Linked DNA regions of Pelodiscus sinensis. The protein of the gene in region 1 interacts with the protein of each later gene in a pairwise test. Links are inferred from orthologs where the notes say so. Each region holds a gene or a part of one and is shown in the gene's direction. Other genes may lie near its edges.

Region 1 (12,794 bases):
CTCCTGGTGCCCCCGGCCCGGCCCGCTCACATGTGCCTCGCTCCCTGCGCACACGTAGTCACGTGGACTTGAAAAGAAGCACGTGCACGAGCACCATAGGATCAGGGCCCTCGTTAATCTGCAGAGGCCCTGTGGACCAGCGGGGTAAGGGAATGAAGCAGAGATTCAAGACGCTTGGCTTTCATTCCCATGACTTTGACAAAAAGGTTTTGCCTCCCTGTGCCTCAGTTTCTCCTTTTTTTCTAGTTAGACGGTGAGCCCTTTGTTCTCCCCATGCGTGTGTCTTCCTCTGTGCTCAGGGCCTAACCCAGGAGGGCTCCATCCTCAAAGGAGGCCTCTGGACCTTACAGACGGCTGCGAAATAATACTGAAATCAGCTCAGTGGATCGAAGCTGGGGACCGTGTCTCTTTCTCTAGCTCATAGCCCCCTCCCCCCGGCCTTTAATGGAGTCCCAGAGTCCTGACAATCTCCCCAGCTTGCAAGGCGGCGCGTGGGTGGGCAGACGTGATGCTTGGAAGGAGCTGAACAGGCTCCCCATGAGCCTCAGGGTGCATTCGCCTTCAGTGCCGCGACGGTGGCCCCTGAAAAGCTGCAAGGAATCCAGCCTCTCTATACCCCCCATATTTCCAGCACAAGCTGCCATGTCCCCTGAGTTCAGATACAGAGACTGTCTCTGGGGCTGCTGCAAGGGACTTTAAAGGAGGAAAGCTGATCTGGGTTTGGAAAGATCAAGTCCAGCATGGCATCTACTCACTTGCTGACTTTAAATGGGAAACTACAGATGTTTGGGGTAACATACAGCGCTGGAGACATTGGATTTTGTGTGTCTGTGTGTGCGTGGGGGAGGTATTACAAAACTCTTCCTGGGACTTTCCCAGGTTTCTGGCTGTTCATGCTTTTACTCTGCACTCAGCCCCGCGCGGTCTCAAGCCCGCTCTCATGAGATGCAGCTGCTGGAGAGAACAAGGTGCAACAATGTGCCCCAGCTGAAGTTATGGCAGAGCAATGAAACCAGGGGCTGCAGGGTGGCAGCTGAGAGAGGCAGGGAGGCAGGGGCAGAAATGCCCCCACGTCCAAGTGCTGGGAGTGGGGAGGGGGTTGTCCGTTCAAGGATCTGGGGGGCTATCATGCCTAGTGGTTAGAAGGAACCAAGGCGGTTGCTGGGATGCGCAGATGATCTGACCAATCCTAAGCTTTCCCCCTCTCCCGCCTCTGCCCCGTTGGAACGAAGGAAGGAAAGAGCCACTGGGTTTCCCAGTTCCGTCGCTGTCCTAATGGGCTGATCCCTCTGGGTGTGACAGCGCCTCCTGCTGGGCCTGGCCTCCCTGCCCAGTGGGCTGGTGACACGCCAGGGCCGGCCAAAACACCCAGGACGCTCCCGCAAACAGCAGCCGGCGCTGCCATGAATCATCCACTCCGTGCAGCCTCCCCCGGGCTGCAGGCAGCACCGATCCGGGGCTGCCATCGTGAGGCACCGTGGCACTTGGCACAGGGCCCTGGGGTTTGTTACCTACCCTAGCAAGGGCCGGGCGGTGCTTATTGTGTGCCAGCCCCACTTGGGCTGGCTGTTCCTAGCCCTGCGGCATCAGTGATGGATGTCAAAATATTGCTTGAGCTCCTCCACCCCCTTTCGTTGCAAAATAAGCAATTCACAAGCCTTTTCCCTGCCTGAAATATAAACCCCGGGGCTTTTCTCGAAGGGCCATTCCCCTAAGCCAAGGGGTGGCACGGACGGCGGGTGCACAGCATGGGCGTTGCCCCCCTCTCTCGCCTCCTCTCTGCTCCAGTTGCCACTGCGCTTTGGGCTCCTGGCCGTCACCTACCAGGGGAGGAGGAACGAGTGGGTGCACAGGCCTTTTTCACGGGGGGCGGGAGAGGAGACGGTTGAAATTAGCAAGGGGGCCCACCAACCCCTGGCAGGGGCACCTCCAAGGGAGCAGACGGGCATTACCTCTGGCCACCCCCATTCCAGATCCAGGGAGAGACGGTCACTGCCCCCAAAGCATTTACCACTGACAAAGGGGCTGCGTGTGTGTGTGGGAGGAAACTGAGTCACAGAGGTGGGGGAAGGCGTTTGGCCAAGGTGTGTGGAGCAAGGAGCAGAGTGTTGTATCCATTACGCCATGTGGCCGGTCCATCCGATCAGCGTTACGTCTCTTGGCCTTTGTTTTATTTTGATCCAGGATGTAATTCCTAATACATGAAGTTCTCCCACTTCATCCCCCTCCCAAATAAACTCCCACATTTTGTCCCCAAATTGCTGCATCTGCTGGTGAAATGGACCCCTCTGGAAAGTGGGGCAGGCAGTAAGTTTGGACAGGAATCAATCTCCCAGCATTGAGATGCAGCCACTTCTGGGGTGGAGCATGGTACCTTCCTATATAGGGATCTTCTCCCCCCTCCCCCCCCCCCCCCAGTGCTGGGAGGCAGCCACCTCTGGATTGCAGTATGGCAGCTGTTTGTAAGGGGACCCAGGACTGAAATGCAGTTGCCCTTATTTGGGGGGGGGGGGAGGAGAGATGCAGCAGCTGGCAGCCCAGGCAAGAAGGCTGGGCTTGGAGGAGGGAGTGTGTGTGTATGGGGGGGGGGGGACATACATGGAAAATGAAAGAACGGAGGGGGAGGGCAGCCCCCAGTAGCTCCACAGAGGGGGGAGGCAGATTCTTGGCGATCCTGCTGCTCCCAACCCCCGCCCGGGACTTTAATGCCAAATATTTTCTTGCTGAGGGAACTGGCAGGGCTGTGCCCACTTGCTGCCCACAGTGCAGCCACTGCGGGGGCTCACAGCTTACCAGGGACAGAACGCAGGAGTCCTGAACCTCCTACTCCCTGCCCCCCAGCCCCAGAGCTGGGAACTGAACGCAGGGGTCCAGACATTTGGTTTCCTGCTCTAACCAGTGAACCCTGCTCCCCTCCCAGAGCCAGGACTCCTGGGTTCCCCTCTCCAGAGGCAGGAGGGGAGTGTCACCCAGTGGTTAGAGAAGGGGGGGCTGGGAGCCAGGGCTCCTGGGTTCCCTTCTCCAGAGACAGGAGGGGAGTGTCACCCAGTGGTTAGAGAAGGGGGGGCTGGGAGCCAGGACTTCCGGGTTCCCTTCTCCAGAGACAGGAGGGGAGTGTCACCCAGTGGTTAGAGAAGGGGGGGCTGGGAGCCAGGACTCCTGGGTTCCCTTCTCCAGAGACAGGAGGGGAGTGTGGCCCAGTGGTTAGAGAAGGGGGGGCTGGGAGCCAGGACTCCTGGGTTCCCCTCTCCAGAGGCAGGAGGGGAGTGTCACCCAGTGGTTAGAGAAGGGGGGGCTGGGAGCCAGGACTCCTGGGTTCCCTTCTCCAGAGACAGGAGGGGAGTGTCACCCAGTGGTTAGAGAAGGGGGGGCTGGGAGCCAGGGCTCCTGGGTTCCCTTCTCCAGAGACAGGAGGGGAGTGTGGCCCAGTGGTTAGAGAAGGGGGGGCTGGGAGCCAGGGCTTCCGGGTTCCCTCCCCAGCTGCAGGAGGGGAGTGTGGCCCAGTGGTGGGAGCAGGAGGCAGCTGCGTGCCGCAGGGGAGCGCAGCGGGAACGGCTGGCGGGCTGCAGGGGCCGCTGGGCACCCCCCCTCCTCAGCTGGGCCCGGCCCGTGGGCGGCTGCCGGGCTCTAGCGGAGCCAGCTCCGGCCGCGTGGGCGGGGGATGTGCGTCAGCGAGGGGGCGAGCAGCACGTGGGGCCGGGCCAGTGAATTCCAGCCCGGCCAGCCCCAAATAGCTCCTGGAGCGGGGCGGCGGCCTTTGATCCTCACGTCGTTCTGGGGGGCCAGAGCCCCGCATCCCTCGGGGGCCCCGATTGCACATCCTTGGGGGGCCAGAGCCCCACATCCCGTGGGGGCCCCGATTGCACATTCTTAGGGGGCCAGAGCCCCACATCCCGCGGGGGCCCCGATTGCACATCCTTGGGGGGCCAGAACCCCACATCCCTCGGGGACCCCGATTGCACATCCTTGGGGGGCCAGAACTCCAGATCACTCCGGGGGAGCGCGATTCCACATCGCTTGGGGGGGCTAGAACCCCACATCTAACACCTCCCAGCCCCATGCAGCTGCCCTGATCCCCGCGGGGTGGGGAAGAGATGGACTCACGTGGGGGACTAGATCCTTTCACACCCCAATCTTTACAGCCCCCAGGGGGCACCCTGAGCCCCACATTGTGACAAGGGCCTGGAGCAGCTTGGACCCCACTGCCCAGGATGCGTTGGACCATGCCCAGCGCAGGAGGAGTGTGGGTGGGGAGGGGTCTAGGGAGATAGGGTGGCAGGGAATGGCAGCCAGGAATCCTGGGTGTTCTCTCCAGCCCTCCCCACATTTACTGGGCCTGTGCTAGGGCTGGCAGGGGGCTGCGGGTTGGGAGTGGGGGGCACCGGCGGAGTGGGGGATGGGGAGCCCAGAGATGGGCTGGCAGGGGGCTGTGGGTTGGGAGTGGGGGGCACCGGCGGAGTGGGGGATGGGGAGCCCAGAGAGAGGCTGGCAGGGGGCTGCGGTTTGGGAGTGGGGGGCACCGGCGGAGTGGGGGATGGGGAACCCAGAGAGGCTGGCAGGGGGCTGCAGGTTGGGAGTGGGGGGCACCGGCGGAGTGGGGGATGGGGAGCCCAGAGAGGCTGGCAGGGGGCTGCGGGGTACATGGAGCTGCCGGGAGTCACACCGTTAGTCCATACATGTCCATGTGCCCACGTGTCACACACAACCCCTCCAGGGCCCTCGCCATCCATCCCCCGCCAGTTCCAGCTCCGCCTGCGCCCGGCAGAGGCCCTGGGGAGCTGGGACCAGCAGGAGATGCTGCTCCTGAGGCATGACGTGAGTGGGTGGATTTGAGCACCCGCCAGGCAGTCCGGCCCTGCCATCTCACAGAGCCACCAGCCTGCGCCAGGGACCCGAGTGGGGCTATGAATAGCTGCCGGAGCGTGGCTGAATGAGCCACGTGGGTGCAGTGGAGCAAGGGGGTAGGGGTGGGGGATGGGCAGGGGTGGACAGAGGGCTGTGCAGGAGGGGAGAGGGAGGAATGGGGAGGGGGCATGGCTGGGGGGGGGGCGGATATTTCCTCTCTCTCAGCACCAGGAAGGGGAAGGAAAGGCCGCAGGGACCATCAGCTCTTCGGCCACCCAGCACCCATCCCTGATTCCCGATTTGCCCCCGGGGCAGCCGTGGCCTGCGACTTCACACAAGCTCCCTGCCGCCCAGCTCCTTCCTGCAGCAATGGCCAGGGACCCTACCGCAGCCCTGCTGTGGGGGGCGGCATGATGTTCTTTGGGGGAAGAAAGAAACTTCAACCCACGAGGAGTGGAGGAGGGGCCTGCAGGGAAGGGCAGCCAGGACAGGGGTGCAAATGGAGACCCCAAGGAGTTACCAACGAACTAGGGGCGAGATCCCCAGCCTCTGGGAAGTGACGTCGCTTCGGCATCGCCAACTGCAATGGAGCAGACTGACCCGGCCTCACTGATCCCGACGGGGATGCGGCCCCACACCAGCCAGGATCCAGACCCACTGACCCCGACAGGGCTACGGCCCGTCCACGCTGGCTCCATCCCAGTATTCTGGGAGAACCAGATTCTCCCCCCACCTGCCAAGGAGGCTGCAGACCCCAGAAGCAGCTGAGATGCAGGGAACAGAACCAGGCAGAGCCCTTTCAGAGCTGAGCTATTCCCACGGACTACAAGGGGGTGCCCTGGGGGAGGAGTGAGACAGAGCAGAACAGGACTCATTGGCTCCCTGCCCCGGGAGTCAGCGTGTGCACCCATGCACCAGGAACATGGCGCCCCAAGCTGCTGTACTTGTGAGTCTGCCTTCGTTTGGAACAAATCCCCAATTTCAAGCCAAACCACCATTCGACATCCCGCCATTACCCACAGCATCTGCCGACTGGCACCAGCCATTTGGCTCTGGGTGGGAGTGTTGACTCTGAAACCTAACGATGGCCATGAAAACATCCTCATTTGCTAGCAGGTGCTTAGATGCGGCTGAGACTGAGCAATGCCCTAAAAGTGCCCCATGTCATTGCTATGCTGGGGGCATAGGTTCCCCCGTATCTTCACCCCACCCCTCAAATTAGCTCACATGCCCCCCAGATAAGGGGGGCCCTGGACATCCAGCTGTTGCCATCCGCGCTGGGCCTAGCTACACGTGTGCTTCCAAGGGCCCTGTGTTAACCACATCAATGCCTAGATGATGCTCAGGGTTACTATAGCAACCAGGGATGCGCATGAACCGAAGCTTTCCCACAACACCGGTCCAGTCCCAGAGCCACTTTCTCTGTCACCGAGCCACCAAGCAGGGGCAACTGGGAAGGGACGAGGCCTTGTGCCCCTCTTGGCTGCACCAGCACCACACACATAGGGACAACGGGGCCCGGGCCCCCCTCCAGCCCCACACAGGGGCCCCTCCGGCCTGTGGCAAATGGCAGGCCCGGCCAGAGCACAGTGCATTGTGGGTATTCTCTGCATCCCAGGGGCATGGGGAGAGGGGCGTAAGTGAGAGCAGCCGGGAGGTTGATCTAATGGATGTCAGGGGCCCCGAACGTCTAATGGGGGAGGAGGGGTTGGGTCCTGTGCTAGGCTCCTGCCTCCTACCTCCCCCTCACAGGCACCTGCTCCCATCTCGGGACACCTCCCCTCCCGCCGCAAAGGGAAGGAGGGGGCAGAAACAATCCACACCGTGACCTCTCTGCTACCAAGATGAATCACTTCTCCCTCCGCCCCCGCAAAGCCCAGAGCCCACACGGCACATGTGGGCTGCGCCGAGGGCCCGGCCAGGCCCCTGCTCCTCCTCCCCGCTTCTGAACCTGGGGCTGTCCACACAAAAGGCGCTGTGGGGGGGGGGGGGGGGGGCTTGGCTGGCAGCAACAGAAGGCTTTTATCCGTCTAGCCGGGACAGCAGCCACAGGGGGATGGGACACGGGGTACCCAGCAGGATGCATGGGAGGGGACAGGCTCTGGCAATGGCACCCCAGCCATGAAGGGGTTCTTCTCACGGGGGGGGGGAAGCGATATATAGGGGGGATGCTGCACTGCGTACCAGGCTAAGACTGAGCCCCAGCTTTGAGCCCGTTGGTGGGGGGGCCTAGGCACTGCCCAGGCCCCCCCACCCCACCTGGGTATTGAGGGGTATGAGAGGGGAGCCGCAACCCTTCTCCCCTATGTCCCTTCCTCTGTGCCCCCCCTCCTCCCCCTGTGTTCCCCCCAGCCCGCACCCTTCTCCCCTATGTCCCTTCCTCTGTGCCCCCCCTCCTCCCCCTGTGTTCCCCTCAGCCCGCACCCTTCTCCCCTATGTCCCTTCCTCTGTGCCCTCCCTCCTCCCCGTCTCCTCCCCCGGGCCCCATCCCCCGCGCCCTCCCTCTTCCCCCTGCGCTCCGCCTGGCCCACACCCTCCTCCCCTCAGCCCCCCAGCCCACACCCTCGTCCCCCTGCACCCTCCCAGCCCGCACCCTTCTCCCCTATGTCCCTTCCTCCGCGCCCTCCCTCTTCCCCCTGCGCTCGGCCCGGCCTGCACCCTCCTCCCCCTGCACACCCCAGCCCGCACCCTCCTCCCCCTGGGTCCCCCCCAGCCCGCACCCTCCTCCCCCTGCGCCCCCCAGCCCGCACCCTCCTCCCCTGCCCCCCCCAGCCCGCACCCTCCTTCCCCTGCGCCCCCCAGCCCGCACCCTCCTCCCCTGCCCCCCCCAGCCCGCACCCTCCTCCCCCTGCGCCCCCCAGCCCGCACCCTCCTCCCCTGCCCCCCCCAGCCCGCACCCTCCTTCCCCTGCGCCCCCCAGCCCGCACCCTCCTCCCCTGCCCCCCCCAGCCCGCACCCTCCTTCCCCTGCGCCCCCCAGCCCGCACTCTCCTCCCCTGCCCCCCCCAGCCCGCACCCTCCTCCCCCTGGGTCCCCCCCAGCCCGCACCCTTCTTCCCCTGGGCCCCATCCCCCGCGCCTCCCTCTTCCCCTTGGGCCCTCCACTCTCCCTGCGCCCCTTCCCTCCGGACTCCTCCCCCTGGGATCCCCCCCTTCATCCGTCCCCCGCCCCCTCTCCCTTCCCCCCGGGGCGCCCACTCCCCCTGCGCCCTTTCCCCCACACCCGCCCTCTTCCCCCTGCGCTCCCCCCGGCCTGCGCCCCGCGCCCCCCGCTTCCGACCCCTCGGCCGATCGGCCCGGCCCGCTCCGGGGGCCGGCGGAGGGAGGCGCCGCTGGGTCCCGCCCCCGGAGCCTCCCACGCGCCGCGCCGCGCAGCCGGGCGCTGCTATTTCTCTGTAAATCGCGTGTGGGCGGCGCGCAGAGCGCAGCGGCGGAGGCAGCGAGCGAGCGAGCGGCCGGTGCCGAGCCGGGAGCGCGGCGCGATCCAGCCGGTCCGGGGCAGCGGGGACCCCGGAGAGCCCCCGCCCGGCCCCCCGCCGCCGTCCATGCCCGGGCGAGGCGCCGCGGAGCTGGGAGCGAGAGCGGCCGGGCGCAGCTCCAGCCAGGCCAGTAAGCGAGGGGGGGCTGGCACATGGGGGCGGGGGCTGGCGCGGGGTGGGGCCTGGCAGGGGGGAGCCGGGGGCGGGGGGCTGGAAGTGGGGTTGGCACGGGAGGGGGGGGGTGCTGGCTGGCGCTGGGGGGCAGGCACAGGATAATTTCGGGTATTGAGGAGTGGGGGAGGGGCAGTGCTGGGGGCACAGGGGGCAGGAAGAGGGGCAGGAGGTGAGCTGGGGGGGGGTCGGTCTGGTCCTGGGGAGGGAAGCTTGGGTAGGAGCTGGTCAGAGTGCCACTGGGCTTGGGGGAGGGGCTAGTTGACCAGCAAAGTCAGAGCAGAGCTGGGGGGGGGGGGGTCTCGGGACTGTACCCCCCCCCCCCCCAACACACTGCTCAGAGCGTCTTGCTGGGATGTGGGCCTGGGGGGATGGGAATAAGGCACCTGAGCAGGGATCTGGGATGCTGGGGAAAGTGGATGGGGGAGGGGCTGGGGTCTTCTTCCTTCCCCATTCAGGGATGGAGCTGCCATGTACCCCCAGCACCCCTGTCTGGGGGGGGGGGCATTGCCACACAGACATTTCCGGGGGAGGGGGCAGAGGCTGGGTGCGGGGATGTCTCTTGGTTGAAGGAGAAAGACCCTCCAGATTGCGTGGGAGTGGGGCTGGCCAGGGGGCTGTGGAGAGGGGTGATCAGTGGATCAGGCTCTCCAAGCTGGTTGCCAACTGCCCCGGCTCCTTGGGGTGCTGGCACCCGGGGGGGGGGCGGCATTCTCGCCATCTGGAGCCATGTGTATCTCAGGTCCCAGTGGCACTGAGAAAAGCAGGATTCTCTCTGAGGACATGGGGCACTGCCCCTTAGCGAGAGCCCTCTGCAAAAATACTGGGGGGGGGGGGCTGGATGGCACTGGGAGAGTGTGAAGGAGGTACTGGGTGCAGTTGGGGGGGACACTGGTAGGGTGCAGTGTGGAATCCAGTGAGGGGAGGCTGCTGCCCGCAGTGCAGGAAGGTGAGGGTGCTAGGCGCAGGGTGGGAGGACTGGCGGGGTGCAGTGCAGAGTGCAGCAGGGATTGCAACCATGCAGTGCGGGGAGGCTCGGGTGCTAGGTGTAGGGTGGGAAAATTGGGCAGGTGCAGTGCAGAGGGGAACGGGCAAGCTGGTGGAGAACAGTGCAGCGTGACGAGGAGGGTTGCAGCAAGTCAGTGCAGGAAGGTTAGGGTGCTAGGTACAGTGCAGAGAAGTTGGTTGGGTGCAGTGGGAAGGGGTAGGGTTTAGAGCCATGCAGTGCAGGGAGGTTGGTAGAGTGCAGTGGGAAGTTGCTTCCCTGTAGTGCAAGGAGGTGAGGATGCTGGATGCAGACCTGGGAAGCTGGTGGACGTGGGGGGGAGGGTGCAACGGGTTTGGGGGGGGGATGCAGTGTGGAATGCAGTGGAGGGTTACAGCCACGAACCATGAAGAGGTGAGGGAAAGAATATTGGTGGGGTGCAATGCAGAAAGCAGTGGGGAATTGGAGCCGTGCAGTGCAGGGAGGTGAGGGTGCTAGGCGCGGGGTGGGAGGACTGGCAGGGTGCAGTGCAGAAAGCAGTGGGGGATTGCACCATGCAGTGTAGAGAGGTGAGGGTGCTAGGTGCAGGATGGAAAAATTGGGCAGGTGCAGTGTAGGGAGCAGTGCGGGATTGCACCATGCAGTGCAGAGAGGCGAGGGTGCTAGGCGCAGGGCGGGAAGATTGGGCGGGTGCAGTGCAGAGTGCAGTGCGGGATTGCAGCCATGCAGTGCAGGGAGGCAAGGGTGGGAGAATTGGCGGGGTGCAGTGCAGAATGCAGTGGGGGATTGCGGCCATGCAGTGCAGGGAGGCGAGGGTGGGAGAATTGGCGGGGTGCAGTGCAGAGCGCAGTGGGGGATTGCGGCCATGCAGCGCAGGGAGGCGAGGGTGGGAGAACTGGCGGGGTGCAGTGCAGAGTGCAGTGGGGGATTGCGGCCATGCAGCACAGGGAGGCGAGGGTGGGAGAATTGGCGGGGTGCAGTGCAGAATGCAGTGTGGGATTGCAGCCATGCAGCGCAGGGAGGCGAGGGTGGGAGAATCGGCAGGGTGCAGTGCAGAATGCAGTGTGGGATTGCAGCCATGCAGTGCAGGGAGGCGAGGGTGGGAGAATTGGCGGGGTGCAGTGCAGAGCGCAGTGGGGGATTGCGGCCATGCAGCGCAGGGAGGCGAGGGTGGGAGAATCGGCGGGGTGCAGTGCGGGGTGCAGTGCAGAATGCAGTGTGGGATTGCAGCCATGCAGTGCAGGGAGGCGAGGGTGGAGGAATTGGCGGGGTGCAGTGCAGAGCGCAGTGGGGGATTGCGGCCAGGCAGTGCGGGGAAGCGGCCGCTGGTTCTCCGCTCGCCTCCCCCCATCGCCCTGCTCTGGCCCTGATGTCCCCTCTTCCCCTCACAGGCCTGCCCCTCGCCATGGCCCTGCCCCGCACCCTGGGCGAGCTGCAGCTGTACCGCGTGCTGCAGCGAGCGAACCTGCTCTCCTACTACGAGACCTTCATCCAGCAGGGCGGGGATGACGTGCAGCAGCTGTGCGAGGCGGGCGAGGAGGAGTTCCTGGAGATCATGGCGCTGGTGGGCATGGCCACCAAGCCCCTGCACGTCCGGCGCCTGCAGAAGGCCCTGAGGGAGTGGGCCTCCAACCCCGGCCTCTTCAGCCAGCCCATGGCCTCCCTGCCCGTCAGCAGCATCCCCCTCTTCAAGATCTCCGAGAGCGGGGGGCGCAAGTCGCTCAGCAACGGGCACGCCAGCCCCGGGGAGGCCCCGGGGAAAGGGGGCGCTGGGCTGGCCACGCCGCCCGCCCGCAGCCCCTCGGAGCTGGGGGAGAAGCTGTCCCCTCTCTCGGCCCCCCAGTGGCCGGGGCGCAGCACCCCGGAGTTGGAGGGGGGCGGGGCGGAGGAGGACGGGGGGCCGCCCCCTTTCTCGCCGGGGGGCGGGGAGCCGGCGCCGGAGCAGCTGGACCCGGAGCTGGCGCGGACGGTGGCGGAGGGTGTGGAGCGGCTGCTGCAGAGCTGCCCGCGGGGGGGCGAGGCCGAGCTCCGGGCCCTCATGAAGCTCAACAAGAAGCTGGCCAAGGCGGTGGGGCACATCTTCCAGCTGGAGGAGGGCGACCGGCGCCGGGAGGAGGAGATCCGGCGGCACAGCGCCATCTACGGGCGGGGCGAGGCCCGGCGCCGCGACGGCAAGCCCCTCACGCTGCACGAGGTGAGCCACGGGGGGGGGAACAGGGGGGCCCTCGCCCCGTTCCCCAGAATGCAGCCACCTCTGGGGTGGGACGGCGCAGCTGATGGGTGGCGGTGAGAGCGGGGGGTGGGAGGCAGGTTGGGAGCCTGGGTTCTATTCCTGCCCCTGCCCCCCTTGCTGCCCCTCCCTGGATCCTTCCTTGTACCTTTTTCCCATCGGCCCCCAGTTCCCAGCTCTGCCCCTCACCCCGGCATTGAGGCTCCTCGGGGGCCTCCCTGCCGACTCGTCTCCTTCCCAGCCTAATGCTGGGCTCCACCCCCTAGGGGGGATCGGCTCCACCCCCTAGGGGGGATCGGCTCCACCCCCTCCCGCTAACAGCCTCGTCTCCGCCCCTCCCCGCCCCCCAGCTGACTATCAACGAGGCGGCTGCGCAGTTCTGCTTGCGGGACCACACGCTGCTGCTGCGTCGCGTGGAGCTCTTCTCCCTGTCGCGCCAGGTGGCCCGGGAGAGCACCTACCTGTCCTCGCTCAAGGGAGCCAGGTGAGCCGGGCTCCTCCCCGCCCCGGGAAATCCCTCCTGCGGGATCCAGGCTGGGGCATCCCTCGGCAGAGCAGGGGGCGGGCAGGGAGGTGCAGAGGGGAGGAGCGCGGGGGTGGAAAGTGGGGGGGGGGGGGCGGGCAGTGGGAGGAGGAACTGGGCATGGGGTGGGGGGGGAGTCAGGCTGTCGGGAGACTCCTGCCCCCGCGGAGCTGCCCTGCCCCTTCCATCTGCCCCTCAGCCGCCTTTCCCCGCGGGGGACTTTCTGCTCCTGTCGAGCCAGCCGCCCCCCCGGCCCTGCCCCTCCAGCGCTGCCTGGCTCTGTCCCCACCCGGGGTGCGACCGGCAGCCAAGCCGGAGCAGCATCTTAGCCGCCTGGCTCCTCCTGCCCCGAGGAAGGCCCCGCGGGCGGCCCCTGATACCGACCTGTTTCCCGCAGGTCGCACCCGGACGAGAGTGGCGCCGCGCAGCCCAAGAGGCTGAAGCAGGAGGTGGGTGCTGGGTGCGGGGGGGGAGGGGACATGCCTGTGCCGCGGGGTGCAGCTGAGCGGGGCCGATGCCGGCTCTGGGGGCGCGGGCGCAGCAGTGGAGCAGCAAGAGCGACT
Region 2 (11,875 bases), on another chromosome or scaffold:
GCTTTGCTGAAACACTAATTACTTGGTGAATTTCCCTCAAATAGTTTAGTTTCTTGGGTGGAAATAAAAAAATCTTTGTCTTAGTTTCATTTCAGCATAAAGGAACCTCTCTGCAGACTCTCTGTTCTGCACAGAAGAGGGAAATAAGGGGTTACTCAGGCTAGAGTATTTTTTTTGTTATTTTCCTCATAAAAAACAGTAACAAATTTATCTAATGGATCAAAGTGCCATCCACAGCCAAAATGGTGGAAGGGATATCTAATGGTGGAAGGCAAGAGACCAACTTCTTATGCCAAAGGTGGTGTGCTTTGCCTAGAGCCTAAAGAATCAGGCCCCATCTGTAGATATCTGCCATACAATCAGAACTATAATTTTCACAGTGAAATGCAGGGCCACTATATCCATGTTCATTGTAAGCCAAATCCTTAAACCCACTAACAAGGTCGCACAGGGTGCAGATGTTACTTGCTGTTACGTAATGCTGTCTGATGGACAGGCTTTGTGCAGATGAAGGGTAGCTCAGTGCACATACAATGACATCAGCCTCTCAAAAGGGCTTTCTGCAGACCCTAGTTTCTCTCTAGCTTCCCATGGCAAAGGGGGCACAAGGATCCGGGAACTACTTGCATATTTTTGCTTGTTTAAGTTACCTCTAAAATGATCTGCTGGTCCTCTCCCATCAATTGTATTGGGAGATTGTTCTTTGCTGATTTGCTTCAACAGGCCCTGCCAGTCTCCCTGGCTGACCTGCTTCTTTCACAGCTGTTATTCAGACTGCTTGTCATGGACCATGTAGTCTATTCACTCTAACCTTCCTGACACTCAGCTGTTCTAGCTCTGACATTGACAGGGCTCTTGCTTCCTGGATGCCATTCAGTAAATACCTGGCTACCATATTTGGCACTCAAGAAGAGAGAGACACAAGGATGCAGACACAAATGAAGGAATAGGATTTATTCTCCACTACAGTTGGCAGTGTAGCAACAATCAGGCCCATTGACTGTGCTCTGAAGAACGGATTCAATGGTCACTTTCTATAGGTCGCCCTCCTAAGAATTTAAATAGGGCTCTGTAAATATAAAAATGCAGGCCTGACAGTGCAAATTGGCTCCACTCTATTGACCCTGATAAAGCCAGGGTTTTGTCTCATAAGCATGTTACAGTGAATAACGTTGCTGGTCTGCCAAGACAATCGAGTTAAAATTTTCCAAAACTATGCTTGTAATATAATATTATGCAGTGAAGACATTACAATCTGCAAGGTCATTAAGAAAAAGCTAAGTAGCTGTACTAACTAAAGTTTGGTCTGATTTTTTTCAGCAGTGTGTCAGGGTTAGAGGATCACATTTACTAACGCCCCTTTCAAGTTGTATCTAATTTCTGACATTGCTGTTGTGTTGGGGAAACTTTGCTGTATTGCAGACTGCGGTACCAGTGTTGCTTTAAGATGGAGCATTTCACCCTTGGGAAAAGTAAAAGCCACCTCAAACCTCAGAGCAAACCTGAGACGGTAAATGGAGTACACCAGAGAGAGGGAAAGCATGTCTGAAAATACAGAGCAATAAGATACTGCTTTCCTGTAGTGGGGGGACCACTGAGTTTTTAAATCCAGCTTTCCTTTATGCATGTGTTTCTTTTAAAAAAAAATTAAGTATAACGATTACAAGCTCCCATTCAGTATTGTTGGCTACATGGACTTTGAGGTTTTTACACCCCCAAAATTTCATTCTAGCAGAGTGCATACAAGCTCTTTTAATACACACTATGCATACTAATATACTGCTTCCTTGTTTTTTGCCTTTGACGCAAAGTTTCCATTACCATATATGTAGGGAATACATTAAAAATGACACTTTAAAGTGGACATTTAAAATAAACATGATATAAATCTTCATACACAATGCATAAAGATCTGACAACCTGCAAGTGTTTAGTTCTCACTGACCGTAAAGTGCTTTCAACATGAAAAGCACCATTTGCATGCTGCTACAATTATTATTGGTGTGTCAATAGAGAAACAGATACATTGTGGGTAGGAGTTTAGAAAAAGCCAGTAACACAGGTCTATGCATTTGAAGTACTTAACTTGTCCCTATTAGTGTAGTATCCCTAGGTGTCTCACAATGAAATGTATTTATACTCATAATATGCCTGTGAGGAAAGATTATTATACCCATATTGTAGATGAGAAAACTGAGGGACAGAGAGGCTTGCCCAAGGCCACACAGGGAGTCTCTGGTGGAACAAAGAATTGAACCTGGAATTCCCAAATCTCAGATTAATTCCCCAATTACCCTTCCTCCTTTAGGAGAGTATCCAAGAAGGAAGCATTTATATCCTCTCAAAAGCCACGGAGAGTCAAGCAGAAAGATCAGAGGAGTTAAGACTCACAAAACAAAAGACACTCAGACTTTCACTGCAGTTACACTAGGTCTATGGGATTCATTTATCCATCCAATTAAAAAAAAAAAAAAAGATCCTTGGCTGTTTGCTCTAATTTATGTGAGTGCAGAAACAATTTTAGTTAGAATCGCTTCAGCAGGGTAAGTGCTCTTGATGTTTTATTAACCATTAGGAATAAATTCCACATAACATCCACAGCAATGTCACATGGTAATTGTTGAACATGTCAGTATTTTGTAAATTGACATGGCATAACTGTTCCACATCTAAACTAATTCACACTACAGTATTTCTCTGAAAACTTTCAAGGAATAAACAAAGCAACAAAACCAGAAGTCCAAGCAATGTTGTGTCAGAGTACTACTGTATACCATAAGCCCAATTACAATGCAACATGGTAGGATTCTAAAATATCTTTACTGGAACACACAGCAGAAACTCACTAGTCCTCATTAATGATTAGTTCACCTCTTGTGGATTACTGAAATTTGTGAATTTATAGTCTGAGTCCTGCAATTGTGCTGGTAGAGAGTCAATTGTAGGATGAGATCCTTTGTAAATAAGCAAATTGGAAACCATTTAATTAACACAATGAAGTATACTCTTCTCTGCAACAATGCTACACTGTATATGTAAGTACTGTTTAGGACAACCAGAGGATGTACCCAGCTGTGCTCAGGTCTTCAAATGATTTTTGTTTTTTCTTTAAATCATTGCTCAGGGTGGGGCTGGGAATGAGGGGTTCAGTATGAAGGGAGAGAGGACTGCACCAGCCTATTCTCACCACAGCAGCTTGTGACCAGCTGAGAAGCACCTCTCTATGGCCACTGCAGTTCCAGTGGGCAGAGCCAGGGGAGGGTGCATGTCCCCCAGCTGGAGCGGGTCCAAGTTTGTACGCCCCCTCCCCCGCCCCTGCACTCCCCTGGAATGCAGCAAACTGCATTTTCCTGTCCCTCTGTGATGAAGGGAAACAGCCAGTAGTATTACTATATGAATTGGGGGGAGGAGAGCAGGGGGACTCTTAAGCTCCTCCATCACCCTCCTAAAAGGATGCCTGGGAGATGGGAAGCTCAGGGACGGGCAGTCATGAATGGGGGGAGGGGAAGGGAACCCCCAGACAGTCCCTTTCACCTGCCTGGTGATTCTGTCTCTTATCTGTATGGTTTTCTGAGAAGCAATCCCATTCCAGCACATCCCATTGTCCTGGCACAACCAAACCCTGATCTTGCTTTAAGTTATAAGAAGAAACTGCCTACCAAATTTGGTGATCCTGCCTCTTAGGCTATGTCTACACTGGCATGATTTTCTGGAAATGCTTTTAACAGAAAAGTTTTCCGTTAAAAGCATTTTCGGAAAAAGCGCATCTAGATTGGCAGGACGCTTTTCCGGAAAAGCACTTTTTGCAGAAAAGCGTCCGTGGCCATTCTAGACGCGCTTTTCCGCAAAAAAGCCCCGATCGTCATTTTCGCGATCGGGGCTTTTTTGCGGAAAACACTACTGTGCTGTCTACACTGGCCCTTTTCCGGAACAGTTTTCCGGAAAAAGACTTTTGCCCAAATGGGAGCAGCACAGTTTTTCCAGAAAAGCACTGATGATTTTACATTAGCTCATGAGTGCTTTCCCGGAAATTCAAGTGGCCAGTGTAGACAGCTGGCAAGTTTTTCCAGAAAAGCGGCTGATTTTCCGGAATAACTTGCCAGTGTAGACACAGCCTTACTGTTTAGGAGGAACTCTTGAACAAATGAACTCTCAGAGACAAATGAACTCTCTCAGATATATAGCAGATAGACATGGGTGATCCGTGCAGCTGGGGCTGCAGGAGGCAGGCCCCCAGCCCTACCTACAGCCCTGTCTACTCTGCTGAAGCCCCACCTCCACCATAGGGAGAGGAAGAGCATGTGCACCCCAGCTTCCTTGGAGCAATGGGGAGGGAGGACACTGGGGGCAGCAACACTCCGCCCCCAGAACACCTAAAGCAACCATTCTGGGGGTGGAGTGTGGAGGAGGCCAGGCTGGCAGTTTGGGAAGGCAAAAACCTTCCTCCGCCTAAGCCACTGGATGGAGACAGACAGACATACAATATTATGTTTTCCATGCATAATGAAAAGCTTAATGAGACTTTGCTACTCTAGGCTGAGTCTCATGAAAACTACTCAGGTTCTATCACATTGTGGAAATGGAGTCATCTTTATATTTCCACAATGGAAGACACTCTCTTCCTCTTTTTTCTTAGACCACTAGAAGCAGTCCTAGTCCATCTGTGACCTAGAATTTCAGCTGAAATCCAAATGGGTCAGAAGTGTTTTTTTTTTTTTTTTTTTTTTTATAAAGTGTCTTTCCAGGTCAGGTAATTTAGGTGGAGTTCTTCCCTCAAGGATTGCTGGTCTCTGGACTGAGTTCACCAAGACCGATGAGGCATTTCCAGTTACAGAGCATGGCACTATTAAGTCATATTTTCTTCACTCCTCTGTCCTGCCCTAAGAGTTTAATTTGAGTCAGGGATTGCTAGTCCCTAGGCTTGGCACTTCCCAGCCCCAGTACCTCTGGGCTGTCCAAATCAGTTATGAAAGTAAAAATAAATAAATAAATAGCTTCTTAAGCCATGTCACCTAATTGCTTGCAGCCCAGCACCTCTTCCATTACAAATTAAGCACTGCCGGCCTCCAAGCAAGCACAAAGGAATTACTACCCAACTCCACTGATTATGCCCGGGTCACTGTATAAACCAGGCTCAGCGAACATTAAAGCCAACTTGCCCTCCCGTGTCTAATCAATATGTAAATAACAATCCTTTCCCATGCAAAGCGAACACTTAGCGTTTTGATTCCAGAGATAATGACTGGCCCGTTAACAGACCATCTCACTAAGCAGGAAAACGGGAATGAAAAACCTCGCTGTTCAAAATACAAAGATACAAGTGTGCGCTTCTAGAGCATTAGTGCTGACAGGAGAGGGGAAAAGCAGCATGAGAGCGCACAGATTTAATATTAAACATTAATCTAAGCTAAGAGTGGCTGCCAGATATATATTGTATCTAAATAACATATGCATTTTATTCTGTCTGGAAAACACCCTGAACATTTTGATCATTATAATAACTGTGTAGGTTCCGAGTACATGTGTGAGTAAATTTTAGTGTCAAATCTCTGCCATGTCCGACAGAATATTTTAGGGGCTTCTTTCAATCTGACAGCCAGAGCACTTTGAACCTTGAAAAGAACCCAGAAAACACAACAGCGACCAAGAAAAGATATCAGCAGGGGTGGTGAGGAAAGAGAGTACTGTAGACAAAAAGGCTTTTGTTCCCACAGTCCATTTCATGTGGAGATTGTGAGGTGAATGGCTTTGAAATGAAATTGAAGGAGTTGCTAGGTCACAGGAAACGGGATTGTCGGAACTTGTTTTGTGAGTCGATTTCTTTAAAAAAAAACAAAAACACGAAGCTAATCTTTCAAAGATTTCACCCTCAATCTCTCACACGCCCCCTCCTCTCCTTTCGCGGAAGACTCTCGTGTTAAGTGTTTTTTGTTAGAAGGGGAGTTTGGAAAAAAAAAGTTGAGGAGTGGCTGGGATCCGTGCTACCTTCTCCCAGGAATTCTGCCCTCTTAGCCAATAGCTGGGATGTATGCAAATGAAGTTCAGTAGCCTGCCTCCCACAAGTCCAACGTGAGCTCAGAGACACTGGGAACTTTGCAGTACCAAGAACTCTCACATTAGCCTGGCAAACCAACTGCAATTCTGGGAATATTTGTTTCGTTCAGCAAGGCATTAAATGGGTGGGAAAAAACCTGCGCTCTCAATGTGTTTTGTCTAGTTGTACAAGACTACTCCATATAAGCCTGCAAATATGAAGTATAAGGTAAGGAAAAGGGGTTTCTTTGAAGGAATTTTCTAATTAAATATATGTGGGGTGGGAGCCATTAACATCTTCAGTTCCAAAAGGCTTCTGAGTGACAGTTTCCTCGCAGTGCAAAATCCGATGGATATAGAGCACTTTGCTTGAATACCCTAAATTCTGTCTAGTTTTTAGACTCTTTTCAGATTGTCCCTAAGCAAACTCCCAGCTCATTTTCCTGCAACTACTACAGATAGAGCAGTGGCTCAACGTAGATGGAAAAGCACAGCTTCTAAATCTCAGACTCGCTTATTTTTGGATTCATCCGAAGGCAGTCTCAGTCTCTCCTCCTGTTGTGAATGACTTTGCCATGTGTGTTTCAAGGAGATCTTCCAAAATTCTACATACCATTTTCTGAGATCCTTAATATTGGGGCTCTGAATGGGAAAAAAAAATTGCGGGGCAGTTGGTCTAGTCTGAAAATAAAATGAGCTTGTAGTAGAAAGCCTGGTACACCTACCATGAGTAATACATGCATTAGGTTAAAGTTCTGATGAATCCTGGTAAAAATGCTTCTTGCATTCATCGGTGGCAAAATATTTACTTAACTCCAGTCATCTGAAGAAGTGGGCTGTACCCACAAAAGCTCATGATACCATCTACATGTTTTGTTAGTCTATAAAGTGCTATCAGACCTTTTATTGTTGTTTAAGTATATTAACTGGTAGGTACTTTGTTTCCAAAAGCAAGACCGTTTTCTCATAGATTATGAAAGTATAATCTAGAAAAGGAGCGGCTAGGGGGGAAAAAAACTTAACTCAGTCAGCATGTGGTAAGATTCCGCATGAATTTACTGGACCAAATTCTGATCCCTCATATTCCAGTGTAAAAACTGAATTGATTGCACTAAAGTTAAGGGAAGTTACTCCAGATTCACGGTGGTGCAAATGACAGGAGAATAAGATCCCTTAAATGGAAAATAAAGTGTATAGTATAGAGAGAACACCTGGGAAAAGATTCTCTTTTTTAAATTAGGTTTGATTTCAAAATCGAATGTACTTTCCTATAACTGTTTTTGATGCAAGTACAGTACTATACATATCTGAACAAGTGACTAAAATTCTCCTTTCATTTGCACCAGCATAATAATTGCAGCAACTTCAGAGTTTCACTGGAATACTCAAGGACATTTACATTGATGGATGTAAAATGTGCATGTGTATGTATATGTGCGTGTGTCCTCAAATGTAAAATGTGTATATTTACACACACCCCCCCCCCACACACACACACACCACCCCTTTCTAAGTGACGTTCAGCATTATTATCCAGCACTGTTTATAAACATAGAAATTGTTGTTTTCCCCCTATGAAATAATCAGCCTGTTTTCTACACTTTAACAAATGTTTTATGTGAACAAGCTTTTTTTAAACGTGGTTTGTTTTAATTAGCTAGGAGCAAGAAACCAATTATATATTTGGAAATTAGAACCATGTTCCTCTCTCCACTCTTTAACAAATCAACCAACCCACTTAAAGACAGAAACATCAAGCACTGATGTATATATCAATCATAGTGGTACACAAATTATAAATATCTGGGCAGAGTACTGGATTGATGCATTAGACTAACGTATAGACATATAGTAATCTTGTGTGACTGCAGAAAGAGGGAGGAAAAGAATATTTTGATTCCCCCTGCCACACACACACACACACACACACACACACACCAAAAAAAACCTCATTAAGTTCAATACAAAGGTGAATTACAAAAATCACACACATTCACACAGACTGCAAGCTCTTTTAGATCTTTTTGTTGTATATGTACCATACCTAGCACCATGGAGCCCTAATCTGGAAGTGATTAGTGTGGTTTAAGAACCTATAGAGTGGAACCTCCCAAAGCTACCAGAATACAAATAAATACTAGCTATAACACATGTAAACTCTCACTCACTTTTAGCTGTGTGTGTTCTTATTTGTTATTCAGGATGAGCTCAATCTAAACTCTCAAGAAATTGAACACTCACAGTCTTTAGGAGAATTTAGATTTAGATCTAGACTTCATGGCCATCTCTCATTTGTATCATTAGCTGAACCCCAGATTCCATCTGTGGCATTCAGATACCGTAGTGATGGGGGTCTTACATGACCTAGAACGACTCTCAGAACTTCCCAATTCAGATCTGAACTCTATGGCTGGCTCTGTGTTGTAATAGGCTGAGCCAAAACCACTGATACAAATACCCCTAAACTTTATAGTTCAGGTCCATCATTATTTGATACTGCTTTAGAGAAATAGTCACACAGAGGGAACATGGATAAATAATGTAACAAAATAAGGAATGCACTGAAATTGCTGCTTCACTTAGTAGAAATTGTCGTGTTAACATTAATCTTTAACTAATTAAACACATTTTCCTCTCACAAATGATGAGCTATAGTGACTTAAAAAATGACAGACCTACACAGTTATACAACTCCTTATAATTTTTTGCTACCCTCCCCTTCCCTCCCCTCCCTTGCACATTGCCAAAAAAACAACTCTACAGCAGTGAGGAGATCATATTTCACACTAGCCACAAGGCACTGAGAGACTGAAATAAGCCACTTCCACAACAGAAATCTTCCCAGTTCTATAATGTTCCTTTCCTGTCTAGTTTGAAGGCTTTGGTTTGGAAGGGGATTACGTAATTCAATCTAGATGGAGCAGGCTAGACAAAGAAAAAGAATAAACTATTAAAAAAAAAAAAAAGACAGAAGGTTTTTGGTCTCTACAAACCTTCCTGCCAGACTACGTGTTTACATTTCATGGGAAGTTTGGAGTATTTATTTGAACAGTTTATCCAGGACAAATATCCTGAGATCTATTTCTCAGATATTGGGGAAAACTACAAAGAAAATACATTTTACCTTCTTGTACAATTTTTCCTAATGTGACTATATATTTTATTTTATATTTTTATCTGTTTGCTCATTGCTTATTTTAGGGAGAAGAAGATAAACAGTACAAACATTAATATTTTAATTTTTGATTTGAAAGTGTGTGTACAGGTTGTGTTTATGCCAGGCATAAAGTGGACTTGGTTTCACAAACAGCTTCCTGTAGTTTTCAAAATGCAGTAAGTGGTGACAGGTGGGTTTGTGTGTGTGTTAAACTTACCTGTACATTAGAAGAGTCTTGTTCATTGAAAAAAAACAGCACTTTATAGACTAACAAAACATGTAGACAGTATCATGAGCTTTCGTGGGCATAGCCCACTTCTTCTGATGCAAAAGCTCATAATCCCATCTACATGTTTTGTTAGTCTGTTACAGAAAAAACCCAACAACAAATGGTCTGGTAGCACTTTATAGACTAACTGGGCTACCCCCTGAAGCTTCTGTTTATTGAGGTGACTGAGACAATGATTATACGCCATGTGGAGTGTTGCTTGGTAGTGATGGAAGGACTTCACTCACTCATCTTCCTCCAACAGACTGGTACTGAAAAAAAAGGATTTGCTCACCTTGCTCACTGTTCTTTTGACCTAAACTTGTTTGAGAAACAAGATGGAGAACAAAATAACAGGGGTGAAATTCTGCTCCCCACTTCCTCACTGAAGCCAGTGGTAAAACTCCTACTGACTTTAATAAGGCCATGATTTCACTAATTTTTTTCCCCTCTTTTTGCCATTCTCCACTCCATGCCCTGAGTCAAATTCAGTTAAATTGGACAGTAGGGTAGATAGAGAAGCATAGAAGAAAAATCTCAATCAGTTCTCCATGATTAGTCTCCTAGTTTCCCAATATTTAATTAGACTCACCTTCCCTTATACCTTTCACCTGTGTTCTATCAAGTGTACTTCATGATATATTGCAAGCTGTGTTGTATATATTTGCATATTGACTGAAATGTTTTGTAATTTTGTATGAAAGATTCTCTCAAATATAAATGCCATTACATTATGATGGTATTGTGGCATACCTCAAGTTCTTTTTCATCCATCTATGCCATATTACTTCCCATAGAATCTTGATATTATATACTTCAAAAGACTGAATTCTTAATTGCTGAATCCAAACCACCTATGATTCTGAGGACAAAGTCTCCATTACTAAAACTTTTCTCTAGGGAAATGAAAATGTAATCAGGTGCTGCCATGATTAGACATACTGTGACATAATGGAAGGAGTACTGTGCTAACAAGTCTTGGATAGCTATTTGCCAACCACAAGCAACACTGAAAAGAAAGGGGAGGGGAAGTTTGTTACAGCACTCAAAGGGGTATCTGTATTGGGGGAGGGAGGAAGAGGGCATGACTGCATTCCACATCTCATTTAAACCAGTAAGAATGGTGAGAATGTATAGTATGAGGTTTTGATTTTCCATTTTAAATAATGTGTTGGCAAGAAAGGAACCTAAACAAATTGGTTTGAAATGCCTGCCATTTGAACTGGGCAGTAATATATACACTTAATTACAAAGCCTGCATGCCAAGTCAAACAAATAGTGCCACTTGGAAGAAATACCGTATTTCCAACCAGAAATGCTTGTGAAAAGCTATTTGTAGCCCAAACAATGAACAGCAAATTATTTGACTACATGAAGGGAAAAGAACGGCCTGTATTTTACTGACCAAAACCCTTTTGTTTACCTTGACACCAACCTGTGACGGCAGTAAATAAGGTTAGTAAGACCTTAGCAAAAAAAGTCACATCACAGAGCACACTAACCACCAAAGTTTAAAAACCAACCTTCAGTCTACCAAGCAACACTCAGCGTTTAGACCGCTTTAGTCACTTCATGTCTTAAAGGGCACAGCATCGTACTCATAACAAAAAAAAAAGGAATATGATGAACTTTTAAGCAATTTTTCTTACTGATTTTTAACGGTCTGGAAATCAGTACTGTTGACATGAAAGATTTTCTAATTAGAAGCCAATTTAGCACTAACAAACTGAACAAATGCAAGTTGCATACACTTCTGGAAGACAACAATCCTTGCAAATCTGGTTCAGTTTTGAGCCTATCCCCCCTTAAAAAGTTTTCCAAATAAGAATTTAAAAATTGACTCCTTCTCATATTATACAACACATACATGCTTGAATTCATATTGGGCCATGGGCCTAACACTGCAGCCTTTACTCCAGAATGATTCCCATTACATTCAATGGAAGTTTTACCTGAGTAATGATAGAAAACCACGCTGACCCTCATATCAGTGGAGAGGGGCAGTACAAATGGATGCATGTTGGGTGAATGTGAATGAACAGTGTGCAGTCTTAGCAACCATGCAATGCTTCTCTATGGGTGCTTTGAAGGGTTTGTGCACCTTAATGTAGGGGAAGGAGGTTATGAAAGCAGTAGTTATCTTTGACATCACAGAGAAGGCAGTAGCAATGAACAAATCAATGGTGGTACTGACTTTCTGCCAATGGCCTGGAGAAGACCAAAGGGGTTAGTAGCCTTTAGACAGACACTGGAGAGGTGGCTTGGTTTCTATGCATCTTAGGAGTCTGCACGACTTGGGACCTAGACTGCTGATCACTTCTGCTGAAGCCATTCCCAGCCAAATGCAGAATGTATCAGAAACCATAGTTATAAACTCAATTTTCTCTCTTCTGTTAGTCTCTGAGGGGTACAGTATC

Evidence for each region.
Region 2: the proteins of NAB2 (region 1) and NEDD9 interact in binary tests that used the Homo sapiens proteins (3 or more experiments, as listed by UniProt). The two-hybrid records come from large-scale screens. The link is inferred for Pelodiscus sinensis from reciprocal best matches to the Homo sapiens genes NAB2 and NEDD9.

The regions. Positions count from the first base shown.
Region 1 is NC_134729.1:3,395,531-3,408,324, reverse strand, and holds the start of NAB2 (NGFI-A-binding protein 2), read left to right. Parts: upstream 1-8,218; 5' UTR 8,219-8,388; coding exon 8,389-8,452; intron 8,453-10,869; coding exon 10,870-11,672; intron 11,673-12,058; coding exon 12,059-12,192; intron 12,193-12,628; coding exon 12,629-12,680; intron 12,681-12,794. UniProt on the Homo sapiens protein: Acts as a transcriptional repressor for zinc finger transcription factors EGR1 and EGR2. Isoform 2 lacks repression ability.
Region 2 is NC_134712.1:110,154,207-110,166,081, forward strand, and holds the start of NEDD9 (enhancer of filamentation 1), read left to right. Parts: upstream 1-5,680; 5' UTR 5,681-6,250; coding exon 6,251-6,262; intron 6,263-11,875. UniProt on the Homo sapiens protein: Scaffolding protein which plays a central coordinating role for tyrosine-kinase-based signaling related to cell adhesion. As a focal adhesion protein, plays a role in embryonic fibroblast migration.